Linked DNA regions of Styela clava. The protein of the gene in region 1 binds, or shares a complex with, the protein of each later gene. Links are inferred from orthologs where the notes say so. Each region holds a gene or a part of one and is shown on either strand. Other genes may lie near its edges.

Evidence for each region. Proteins that work in one complex are often made in the same cells at the same time.
Region 2: DNA polymerase epsilon subunit 2-like (region 1) and DNA polymerase epsilon subunit 4-like share a complex: the UniProt entries of both Homo sapiens proteins name them as parts of the DNA polymerase epsilon complex. The link is inferred for Styela clava from reciprocal best matches to the Homo sapiens genes POLE2 and POLE4.

Annotation. Positions count from the first base shown.
Region 1 is NC_135253.1:16,331,380-16,338,946, reverse strand, and holds the start of DNA polymerase epsilon subunit 2-like, read right to left. Parts: upstream 3,003-7,567; 5' UTR 2,900-3,002; coding exon 2,835-2,899; intron 2,352-2,834; coding exon 2,251-2,351; intron 1,687-2,250; coding exon 1,614-1,686; intron 1,272-1,613; coding exon 1,194-1,271; intron 719-1,193; coding exon 585-718; intron 450-584; coding exon 334-449; intron 141-333; coding exon 84-140; intron 1-83. UniProt on the Homo sapiens protein: Accessory component of the DNA polymerase epsilon complex. Participates in DNA repair and in chromosomal DNA replication.
Region 2 is NC_135254.1:9,451,255-9,457,595, reverse strand, and holds DNA polymerase epsilon subunit 4-like, read right to left. Parts: upstream 1,944-6,341; 5' UTR 1,529-1,943; coding exon 1,193-1,528; 3' UTR 505-1,192; downstream 1-504. Other genes in the region: spermatogenesis-associated protein 24-like, read right to left, coding at 252-503. UniProt on the Homo sapiens protein: Accessory component of the DNA polymerase epsilon complex. Participates in DNA repair and in chromosomal DNA replication.

The DNA of each region.
Region 1 (7,567 bases):
ACCAATTCAATCATGAAATTGATTGCTATTTCTGCACATAAGAAGAGGTCCAAAAACTAACTTCAAAGATGCTAATAACTTACAGCTTGTGACAAGTCCAACTCAACAGCTCCTGTCAAATCTTCTAAGAAATATTTCCTCTGTAAATTTTTAAATTTAAAAGGATGGTAATTGTGCATATATATTATATGTCCTTTAACTTTTATTCACAATATATTGAGAACAAGAGCTTAAATATATAAACAAGATCAAAAATTTGCTGCAAAAAATTGCTATATGTATTTGTAATACAAAGAAGGTCACTCAACATGGAATGTTGTGTAAATTACAAACCTCTTTCAGTTGTGATAACATTCCGAGGGCAATGACATCTTTTAATTTTGAAGAGCAACCAAGTAAATATTCAACAGTTCTTAATTTGAATTTTTTCGATGCCTCATCTTCCATACCTGTCGTTGATCAAGTAGAGTATTAGAGCATAGGACAGTAAGTACCCATTACCAGTGCATGTAGATTGAGATAAAACAGACCAAAGCTACAGCTACTAAGTTATAGATATCCTTGTTTAAATGTTTAGTACTGACCTGGTATTGGTGGAGTGAACAATTTATGCCTCATAGTTCTTTGATGTAATAATTGATATCTTTCACGAAATAATTCTACTTTGTGTTCGGCTTTGGAAAGTAATTTTGCATCACAACCATTTGCCTCAGAATATCTGAATCAAATTGAATACTACTAACATATATACGATAATTTAAAAAAAACATATTTTGAAGCTGAATGTCCAAAGATATAACCCTATTACCAAAGCAAATGTTTAAAAAGCTACTATTTAAAAAAAAACTGGAATCTTCCCTGTTTGACATTGCCTACCCACAACCTAGGTGTAGTGGTGGGCATGGGATTTGAACTCAAGTTCTGTCATCTGTGATGCCGACACAGTTAAGGCTAATGCTTTAACAACTAGGCCATCACACCCACTCTTTATTCAAATTTCAATATCGTCAGTGCTCTGAACTGTTGAAAATATGCGTGTTCCAATTTCCATTCCTTATAAACTATACACTTTTTCTAAGGTTAAAAAGATGTACATTTAAATAGCTTAATGAAATACATTCTCTTGCAGAAAGCTACCGGTATATCTTACAAATGTTATGAACTATGTAAACCAACTTTTAAAAATACCTTACTTGATAAATTTTTTCTTTTCTGTCAAATATGTATATTTTGGAATATCAAATGCATTGATCACTGAGAATACTTGATCACTGTAAAAACGAAAGGTAAAACGCGAGACAAATTAAATTCTTGGAACCAAAATTGGATATTGCTTTTGACTAACAATACAGTTTATTAATGGTTATTCTGGATTTCGTACAATTTTATTCACACACAATCGAAAAAAGATGGAATGAATTATTCACCAAAAACATTGCAATACGAAACTAATGATACGCAATGTACATTGTAGGTAATTGGAGAGATAGACGCAGTAGGACAGAATTTTAATGTTTATCCTGGGTGAGAGGAAAGTGCATCCATTCAATGGAAGTAAATGTCACTAATATAAAAAAAAACATTGTAGACACAAAGAACTTTCTATACTATACCCCCCATCTTCTTCTGCATTACATTCTTTGATTGCAATTTCTATAACATCTGCGTCGATGATATTGCTTGACACTAAATAGGAATTATAATATCAGAATATTATCAGAATACAGAAAGAATAGAAATCATAAACATATGAATGTATAATATAAATGCACTCGATTGAAATAAAGAAATTAAGCAATAACATATCTGGATAAAAAGCAGAATAAATATTAATTTTAGTAAAACACGCCAAACAATGTTTTCCTCCTACCTCAGCGAATAATGAAATGAATATTTGTACCTTTTTTGGTACTTTCAAATTTTTTCGTAATTCAACATGCCAGTAAGTCAGGGTCGGACATTTACTTTTCTGAGTGGGCCAGTTACAGGTAATAGACTTCGTTTACTGGGCCAGGGGCTCAAAACTAAATATGAAAAACAGTTTATTAACAGTTGTCCAACATCTAGGCTAACATTTATATAATAGTAAGAGGCACAGTACGTTATTCTTGCCGATATTTTTATTTCTATTCCTAAAAACTATAGTCGTAATTTTAGCAGACAAGTGGGCCTTCAGATCCGGCCCACGGTCAGTAATTTGCCCGCCCCTGCAGTAAGTTTTTATACATGGTGTAAAAATTGACTACTAACAAGTTTGTTTTTGAACTTCGTCTAAAATTTTATCGATCCAATCTTCTCTTTCAACTGCATTCACAACTGTAAGTATTTCAGTTAAGTAGTTGCTGGCATCACTGCAAAAAAAAGTTATGTAAGAATGATTCTGAAAGCCTGGTAGGTTTAGCGGACAGCATCGTCCATCTTGTCATAAGCTAACATGCAATAGAGTTAGCCAAGTAAATCTCAAATATTATGAAATTAAATAGTATTACAGCCAGAACGCACCACAGATGTGGAGTCAGAACTCAGAAGTCTGAGTATGAATCAAAATTTTTTATTTTTTTTATACAAAGCAATCCCCCCTCCTCAACTATCAAAATAAGGATTGTGATTGCGCTGGAAATTCATATTTTCAAATAATTTCTAACTGCAACTGAATATTTACTATTTTATTAAAACATAACATATTTGTGACGAGGACTTTGTACAAAAGATATAAAAAAATTTTAACAGAGAGCGAATCAAATTTCCCTTGACTCCTCTTTCCTGGGCTATACCACATGTTACAATCCCATAGTGCTGTAGTGCTGTGTACCTTTTCAAAAATTATCACTCACCTTCGTAGTGACAATCCATGCATCTTAAAAGCGGAAACAATGCTATTTTTTAAAGAGGCCTCCATCAATACAAGAATGGTTTTATTACAATAATAATGAATAAGAACCAGACTGAAAGCAGAAATATATTTTTATTCCGATTGAATAATTAAAAAGTAGGCTAAATGACAAAAAAATTATAAGAATTAAAATAATGAGTAGTGTATTTTCGAATAATGTATCTTTTAAATAGCCTATTCCTTTACAATCGAATCAGAATGTTTCAAATCAAATATTTCTGAATCTGATTAGTAATAATATAATAACACTACTGCACTAAGTTATATTTTTGTTAACTTTACTAAAATCAAGAACTACAGGTTGCTTTGTCATTAAATAATAATGATCTTAAAAATAGATAAAGTTATATATTGTACAGTCGTAAGGATGTATTTAATGCCTGATGCACCAAGGGCAGGAGGGTGGGAAAATTTTCCAATAGCATTTCGCCATATCCCAGTATCCTGATATCTGCATATAGATTTGCATGCAGGAATAGGAGCTTAACGTTACAATCACATACCGTAATCAGAATAAAGGATCCAAGGAATATATAAAACGAAATATATTTACAACTTATGCAATTCGTCCTTAGTTGCAAGCCATCGCCAGCACACAACAGAATATATATTATATATTTATATGCTTTGCAGAAAGGATACTATTATCCTATTTCCCGCTTGAACGAGTCCTACTAAAACCAGTCCAAACGCCCGAACATGTACTTGGATCGTTATGATTAATTTTTAAATCGCCCTTTCGGAAATCGGTCCTTTTGTTCTAGGAAAGCCAATTAAACTTTTTACAGGGCTAACCTAGACAAACACTCACAAATATTTTAGAAACTGCACTCGTGTGCGTTTCACACTTCTCACTCCAATATAAATCTCTCTCTCTCCTCTCTGGAAATTATTTGTTCGAGCAGACTATACACTATCGCTAACAACGGCTTGATCATTCTCAATCTAACCATTTTGACGCAGTTTATCATTCAAAAGTTTGAAATCATTGAACTATGGCTAGTTTGCCCTTAAACAGTTCTTCCTGTACCCATTGATGTAATTCTCATTGCTATACTTTCCATTCTTGAAATGCAAACTGAAAGCTAATTTTACGTAATTTATTCTCAAGTTTTTAAAAATCTAAGATTGAAGAAGTGATTGAACGCCAGCTAAATTTCGAATGTTACCGGTACTACATGGAGCATTCGCTGCCGAAGTTTATTATTAAAGACGAGAAAATTAATTTTCGCTGAAAAAGTCATTTATTCCCAAGCCTAATCCCGGATTACAAAGCATTTTTGTCAGGTAGGTACACCGGGAGTAAAATGGGCGAGGACTCACTAACAGCCAACTGAGTTTGACGGCTGAAAACAGGGGGGGTTGTAGAGAACAAGTTTCGAAAGTTCCGAACAGCACAGTCTATTATAATATCAATATCTAAAATATACAGCATTACTTAATATTTTCCAAAATTCACATAATCCTAATTTTTGTGCAGTAATACGGATTTTTGTTGACTTTGCATATTTAATTTCAAACGTATCAAGTATTTTTTGCATTGGTTTCTAGCTTTCAAGCATTTTTGGTAGACGCATTGCAATCTCAAATGAGTCCGCGGAGCGTTTGAATGAGTCCGCAACGAGCCAGAAATTCGTGCGAGCCGCAAACGATTTTGCGGAACTTAACTATCAGCCAATTTACAATTTACGTTGGAATTTACATAGAACATAAAAAGCAAGTTTATTCACATAACATTAAACGAGTCAATAATTACTGGTTACTGAGTAGGGCTGGGCATATATTCGAATATTCAACTATTAGAATAGCAATTTAATATTCGAAAATTTGGTAACAGGAGACGCGACAGGTCACTTGCACTTGTGCGCGTCCCATAATCAAACGATTGGATTTCACAACTCACTCAAGAATTTTCGACGAAAACACACTAGTCGGCACACGCGTCGATAGATGGTGGCAACCCGAATTTTCCAAATTGAAAAGCGGCAATACAAAACGGAGAACACCATAAGTTTCGTTTTATGATGGTCCGCGACCGATTAAAAACGCTTTTTAGACATTGCAACACGCGAAATTTCGGGTGCTACCGTAGTATACGTATACCAGGCAGTGATTTCCCTACACCCCCCCTATAGGGGGTGAACACCCCCCCTAAAATTTCGAACACCCCCCCTAATTTTGAGGTGCTATTCCACACTGAGGGGTTCTAAACCGCAGTCTGCGGGCCAATTACGGCCCGTGTGACGATTTAAAATGGCCCGCCGAACTTGAGTGAAATAGTTCAACCCTTCATGTGGTACCTTTTGAGTTTTAGATACCGTCTATTGTTACATCATTATCACAGTTTAAGCACGTTTATTTCGTAACAATTGAATTATTCCGGTATCTTATGTATAGGTATGGGTATTATGATTACACACTGCAGTATTTTAGATGTCAGCCATATATTAAGAAGGCTTAAAGATGTCACAAAACGAAAACTAGGAACTGAAAACAGACGTTTTTTAGATGAATGACAGCGTTTTTATTTCTTTATTGAAAAGAATCAAACTTCAGCGATTTGTCTCCTTACAAAATATTTCAGTTCTGAAGGAATACAACATTATGATCAGTTGACGAGCGTATTTCAAAATTTAATTCATACAAAAGTAACATGTTCAAAAAAATTAGAAATGTGTAACAAAACAAGCCATAAGTAGCCATTCATACAATGTCATGAGCAAGTAACTTCATTAGTCACTATCAGTTGCAAATTACTTGTTGAAACGTGGTAGTATATATTTACGGTTGCAAGCCGTGCTTGTTATCTATTCCCCGAGAATTCTATCAGTTAAATATTATAATTATTGATTTTATTACATAACAAACTGCAATGCTAGGTGTATCAAAAATCAAGCTTAGAGCCTATTTTGGTGCCTATTTCTCAGAATTTTCTCAGGGCGCTTAAGCGCGCCCTGAACCCCAGCCGTGTCGTCCCGCACTTTTCCTCGCTCCCCTTTTCTGGCCCTACAATTTCATTCTGCTCTGGATTTTGGCTCGCCGTCAATCAACTTGGCCCCCCCCCCCCATGTACATCGTTTCTTAAATACATACCATTTTTTTAAGAATACAAATAGCCTAGTTTTATCTCTAATCGAAAATTATTTACCCCCCCCCCCCCTAAATTTTGAAACACCCCCCCTAAAGGGAAAAGCTGGGGAACATACTGAATTACCAGGGCATCTTCCCTTAGGATTGTTTGCTATACTGCAGGGGTCGGGAACCTTTTTGGTCAAGAGAGCCATAGAATATACATATCTTCAATTGCATTTCCGTGCGAGCCATATAACATTTCTTCACTTAATCAGGCCTGAAATGTTCACTCAAAAATCAACACACTCACTGCTCACTTGCAGCCCAATGTGGAAATCTACGATACTCATCACCCTTTTTCGTTTAGGCATCTCCGTAGTGTTTTGAAAACTCTATCGCTCTGTGATGTCACAATATATGTTCCAGAATCCCCTTGTTTGTCACAATGCCTGTCTGGTAATTATCTTACATAACATAGACATGTGCTGGACGCGCGTTCTCAAACGTATTGGGAATTTCCTGCCAAATTTGGCTATAAAAGAATTTGAAATCTCGTAACAATAGTAAGCTTAGTCTTGGGATATTAGATTTTTCTGAGAGCCATATGCCGTCACCAAAAGAGCCATATATGGCTCGCGAGCCATGGGTTCCCGACCCCTGCTATACTGCCTCAACATTGATACGCCGTACAGTACTAGTAAGCGTTGTGCGAACAGCTCAGATTTGTTGAATTCACAAAAATATGAATCAAAACAAAATATAATCGGGCCTTTACCACGCATTTTTGTGTCCACGGATTGTCATGATATTTTCTGAGTAGTAGCCTATTGCTTTTATTTCGCCAACATGATCACAATTAAATTAATAATAATAAAGCAAGGCGATGAATATTCATTTTTTCATTTACTAATATATTTTAAATATATTATTATTAGGTACTGAATCAAGTTGTACTTTCTGGAAATTTATAACAGATATTGAGATTTTTCTAACGACGATAACAAATTTGCAAGATCGCAAAAATATGTAACAAAATTAAATATAATCGGGCAATATAGTCTCACATTATTACGTTCACAGATTGCCGATTGGCATTTTAAAGAAGAAATGCTTTCACCTTGTCGTAAGTCGACGCAACCGCTAGTTACCACGAACACAAATAAATTAATATAGAAAGACATTGGATTGATTATTGAGCGACAGAAAGCCAATTATACACTGAAAAAGTCGGCTCTTTTTAACGAACGCGTAATTGCAGCGAATTTCCGATTTTGAAATTCGTTACAATTCTGTTGTATTTGATTTTTATCTGGAGTATATTTTCTCACCCGCGAAAACCTTTGCGGACTCGAAGTGCGTTTATTGCAACCTGTGCGAAGAAGCAATAAAATCAAATACAACTGGTAATATTCTCATGACCGACCAGGTCCAATAGGCCACAGTTTTACAGTCGAACTGTCAACTTGTGTGAAACAGAATTGTGTTATCGATTGTTTCTCTTATACGGGACTAACTGCTTCCAATGAGCTGCTTCATATATGCTTTTGTGCGGTTAGATCCGCATGCATATAATGCAAGAATGCTGTAGCAGGAGTGAAAACG
Region 2 (6,341 bases), on another chromosome or scaffold:
TTTACCTAGGGGCCACTGGACGCAGAGTCTGGGTGGGTCTGGGCCAAATCAGGTTTTCCCACAATAAAAGCTTAAAACATTCAAATCTTCTCAAATTTTTCCAAACACAAAACAAGTTAAAATGAACAAATTAAGACTACGATAAATAAAAAAAATAACTGAATATTAAAAATAAATAATTAGTGATTGGGACCTGAATTTTGGTGGTATTTAGGTAATCTACTATTTGATGCTACTCGCACTAATTTTACCTCGTCATAAGTTGTTTTCATAACATAGTTAAGTTTATGTCTCTCTTTTGTTTCTAACATTTGTTCTATTGCATTGTGTTGAAGTCCAATCACATCTTGCAATGTCGCTCTTACTAGATCATGAGTCGATGAACAACTTGCTGTCGATGAATCTGTTAATTCAGTCTTGCCAATTGAAGATGAGAATGATGATGAAAGAGTAGTATTTATATTCCCGGAAAATTTTAATGTATGATCTGATAATTCATCCATACTAATAGATCATGATATAACCATAGAAATAAAGAGAAAAAAGTGTAAATGGCAGTTCATTTTGTGCAGTAGCCAGAATCATATCCATTGACCCTGCATATTTTGATACTACGAGATCTCTCATGTCTCAATGTAAAACCTCACCATCTCAGGTTTTTGATGTTCAGAGTGATAGTGTCACAATATATAACATATTACAAAATAGGTAGAATATAAAAAAATAACTCAACCTTAGACATACTAGATTCGTTTCGTTCAAGTGGTGCTAATACATTATATGCACAACTAAGATAATCTTACTAATAAATGGTATAACAATTATGTTGTGCAAAAAAATTCAATTTTGCTTTAACAGAAGTAACTTTAAACTTTCTTCAAATAGATACAAGAAATACCAAATCAAAAAAATATCTAATGAACAAAAGCTCAAGGAAAAACTAGAATGTTTGGGATGTCTAATTAGATGCAGTAGTACAATTTCCAAGTTAATTTTCCCAAATTATAAGCAAGGATGACAAATGCAAGCTTATATCAGTAAATACACAGTAAAACCAGATATGTAATGTGCCTATCACATATTCCACACTTTCATGACATATTGAGCAGTTTAGGCAAAATCCAAATGAGGAACACTTCTTATTAGAGTACAAAATAAAGTATTGCATTCCAATATGATTGCTAAAATCATATCAGTCCAATGTTCCCTCTAAAAATGCCAGTTCGTCATTAATTTCCAGCACCATATCCAAATCTTTCTTCTGAATTGTTTTTCTTTTATTTCCTTGTGTTACTCTATAAACATCTCTCGATAATTGTTCGATAAAAAGTTCGGTTGCTTTGGCTATTAAGAAAACAGATTCTTGACTAGCAATGTTAACATCTTGATCTGCTTTTATCAAAGTTTTTATACGAGCAATAGGAAGTCTGCAAAGTTTTTCACTTTTTTCTCCGTCTTGATCTGTGTGATCATTTGTGTTCTCAATGTCATCATTGGATTCGTTGACTTCAACAGTTTCCTCACTCATCTTTTGTAACTACAGTACAGATAGTAATTATACCTAGACTATCAGACTATACGGTATGAAATTGAAACTGGAAAAACTCATCAATTTTATATTATAATACTATTGATGTGTAAAGTATAAGGCAGTAAAGTATTCATACAAACCATATATGGATAGGCTGAATAAAAATTCCATGAATACATGACGAATAAACCAGTCAAAAATACACTTCTCAATATATCGGTACATAATTCACTCTGTCACTAGTTGCATAGATACCGAATCAATTCCATAGTGACCATTCAATTCAGCAATTGCATCATACCAGCATAAAGACTTTAAAGCAATTTTTATGAACGAACTTGTCACTTCTCTATGAAAAATATCAACTCAATTAAATCTGTATGTTGACAGATTGTGCGGAGCTTAATGCAGTGATGCCATAACACCTAAATAGCCTACCGGTACTCGTACTGTTATATTGTGACATTGTACCAGTAGACTAGCCTAACTCACTTATTGATATATTTTGTTTTTTCTCAGACGATTTTGATATAAACCTAGTGCTATTAAATTCAAATTTATTTTGACATAAACTGAACTTTTATAATAATATAATAAGTTTATTTCGATCTTCCCTGAAAAAAAAATTCACGAAACAAACAACAAACACACAAAACATAAGGATGAACACACAGAACAATGGGGAAAATCGGGACGGGACAACAGGCAAAACCTTTAGTAAGGTTTAAAACAGCAGAAATGCATGTGCCTGTTCACCCATGCAACATGCAACTCAAATAATCGAACAGCAATTTCCGCGTTTGATCAAATATACAGAATATAGGCTATAATATATATTAAAAAATAACAAATAGAATAATATCAAAAAAATTACCAACAGTACATTATTAATATGTTAAATATGTTTTTCATGGTTGTTCCAAGGAAGAATTCATCACCGTTCATTTTTTCCATAATTCCCTTTTTTCATAATCATCATTTACCGTATAAGATTACAAATATTTTTAAGATGAAGGATGTAAAAAAAGTTTTTCCAATTATTATTTATCTAATAATTACATACACTTGTATAGACTTTTTTTTTTTTTTTGTATCATTTGTAGACATTTGTATCAAATATATCCATCCCCCTGACACCCAAAAGCTGAACAGTCTAAAAAACGTAAATTTGAAAATCTATACAGCACCGCGAACATCTACGCCGACCTTCGACCCCACTATGCCTTTTTTTCGGATACGATCTGATATTTTGTAGTTGGTATTCCTTCTTCTTGTTAGACACGAAATAAATCTGTGGATCGTTTTGGTATTGTGTTGTTAGAATTCTTCTTCTCTTGTTATGGAAAAAATCGCCTTTCTCCTCAATTACTGAACCTATCGCTTTAAAATTTACAGTGGTTGAAGATTGTTAGAAGCCTATTACCTTTATTCATTCCTGATTTTTGGACACGTCAGAGTACATAACGATCGTTTCAATATTATGTTGTTGTTGTCGTTGTTATTATTCTCTTTCGCCATGATGAAATCGCTTTTCTCTTCAAATACTGGACCAATTGCTTTGAAATTTTCAGTAGTTAAAGATTGATTTTTTGCCAGAAGGCTATTACTTTTACTTATTTCAAAAATTTCTGTGGACTTGGACTTCAAGAGATTCGTTTTTATGTGTCAGAATAAATAATAGCGACACCTTGTGACGTTTCCATATATTTGAGCACAGCTCTCTTGTTCTATAAATCCTATAAAATTAGATATCTTATCCAAAGTTTGGCTGTTCCATTTTATTCACGAGAACACGTTTTTATATTCCGCCAGCTTGACAGACTACGCCATGGCTGTTCTCGATTTTTATTTTACGAAGATACGAACTCGTGCTCCGCGAAAGTCGGGAGATTTTTGAGAAGGTGATGCCAGGCAACTAACGCACAGATTAGCAGGATAGGAATAACTGGAGGTTTGGTGTTGTGTACTTCTTACTCGTGTCCGGTTCATCTTTTACCTAATACGCTCAATTCCTGTTATCAAATCGCTCCAGTAACCGTTTACTCCCACATGGCACACTCTATGCAGTGGTGGGATTCAAATTTTTTGTCAGTCAGTTCCTTCACAAAAGTCATATAATTCAGCCGGTTCTGTTACAAACAGAACATTGACAATAAGCAGTAATGCTAACCGGTTCGCTGATCTCATAAAATTCCGTGAGACGGTTCTATAGAACCGATGCGAACCGGCTGAATCCCACAACTGACTCTATGGCATGAAATTGTCTTGTTAATACTAAGAGCATAAGTGAACAGAACTTTTATTGACTAAAATATTCAAGTTATACATCGTTATTTGCCTAACAATAAAAAACATCAAGAATGTACTGATGTCCGATGCTACATCCATAGAACAGCGACAATGATCTGTTCAACAAAGGTATAGTTTTCTTTGGAAGAGATAGTAGTGAAGCATGTTCCAAACCTCTTTTATATATAAACATTGGGATTAAAAATAATATGAGTAGGCTATAGCAGCCTGAGTTTCTATTTGTAGCAGAAGAAACGCCATCAAGATCCAGACATTCCAAATTACTACCATTGTTTGCTTTTACCCCAAAATCGAATAAACACGGATGAATGAATATCACTCATCGATACAACCGGGATATAAATTGTGAGGTGTTTCGAATTGTGAAGGGAAGTATAGCAATCGCCATCTTTGCTACTGGAATCATTCCCGTAGTAATCATCGTTACATTACGAATCACATCATAAAATTGGCACTTGACAGAGACTTTAGATTTATCGATCATCGCGCAACGATTTCTTACTTGGACTGTGCTTTCGCGCTAAAGTTGCCGGACCATTGAATAGCTTCTATAGAGTAGGGATCGTTACCAAAACAAAGATCGTACTGTACATGCAATATATCAAATATTATTCAATGGGGAGAACAATGCTATAAGTTTCAATTACTTTACTTGATTATAAATTTCCATACTGAAATCTTGTTTCCGAATTTATTGAAACAAATTTATCGTATGACTGTACACGTATCTAACCTTCAATTAAATTCAATTTTCAAAGTAGAAGTGTTTCGAAAAAATGTTTTGCCCAAACACTTAATCCCCAATCCGCCCGGAACATAAAATACTAAGTTTCGAATTCAAGAACTTAACTTAATTACAAAATATGACCGCTTGACCTTAAACATTGTTGACAATGTAATTGTATATATATACAACATATTATAAAGCGCTGCCATTACGGTAAGATTAGCTTGTTCAAACATTTGTTTAAATTGGCATCAAATTTGCAGTATCATTTTCTATATTTTTTAACAACTACTGGTAAATTGTGCGTTAAATTGTCGTTGTATTAAAAACAATTTACGATAGAAGAACTTGACGCGCACGTTTTGACAACTCAGACAATCTGGTTGCCAGAGTGGGATTAGAATCAAGCTGAAACCAGACCTTAATTTACAATGTGCTTCTCAAAGGATTTTCAAAATTCTGAAGTAGAATCAGAAATAGGAGAATCTCTAAACGTCCGGGTATCGAAATCGCCATTTTATATTTCATTCCTATTTTACCTTCTCACGTGTTCACAGCATCGACTATCCTCGTGACTTCGTGAATCATCATAATCAACAGTTTCGTTTTCATTGAAACAATATAACACCTAAATATGAAATCCTATATCATAAAATGCTGTAGAAAATTCTTAATATCGACCATTGGTGTGTTACCCGCATGTATGTGATTTGGATTCTGGAGTTCCGGTTACAGAACACTAATGTGTAAAAACATTATAATAAATCTGTATTATATTATTATGTTTTTAACACTAATAATAAATAATTATTCTTATACAATTTACTCTCTTTCTTTTATAATTGATATGCGTATTGCAATATATTAGTGAAGCGGTTTCCAAACTTTTTGTTCGTGCGGCGCCAAATTAGAAGGAAAACAACTCACGGCGCCTTAAAAGAAAAACATGACTGCCTTCAAATAAAACTAAATTTTGCGATCGTTAGCGTGTACTTTGGTGATTTAATATATTTATCTGGTATGGAAACAAGTAGATATCTTTCGTTGTGTGTAAAAAGTGGAATCTTCACTCCAAGTAAATTGAAGGTTGTAATCAACCCGAGTTTGAAGTTGACTAGATGATCTTGTCGATTCGCGACGGATGTGCTCTGCACATTTTTTCAAAAATTTCACAACTCTGCTTCCGTCTGTCTGGATTATCTCTATTGAGGGCATGGAATAAACATCAGCAACAGACTGTGGAAGCATGAGGTGAAAATGAAATCATGCTTGCAAAGTGAAAGCGTATGGTAACTATAGTAACCAGGCGTGAAAGAGAAGATTTTAAAACTGAGTGTACTGAACGTCAAATAGGATGCTATAGATTCCTATGTTAAGAGTTTAGTTGGAATCGATATCTGTGACGTGATTTGTTGCAATGACAAAATAATTTGCGTTTTTCTCAACTTTTTAGGATTAAATTTTGTGTTACTTTTTTAACACGCTGATATATGAAAGGATTTTAACATTATCATTGCCTGCGGCCGCATTCTTTTAATACTTGAATAATCTCATATAATCGTTCGATTAGCAGAAACGTTGCCGCCCAAAAATACAGCGAAGTTGTTTATACTTGTCATTTCATGATAAAATCGCCAGTCATTAAAGTACGCTTAACAGTGAATCTTCCGAAAATCAAGACCTGACCTAGTTTATTACTCAGCAATTAAAAGTAGGCAAGTATCAGAAATACTCAATTATGGAATTTATGATATATATTTGTGTTTTTCTTAA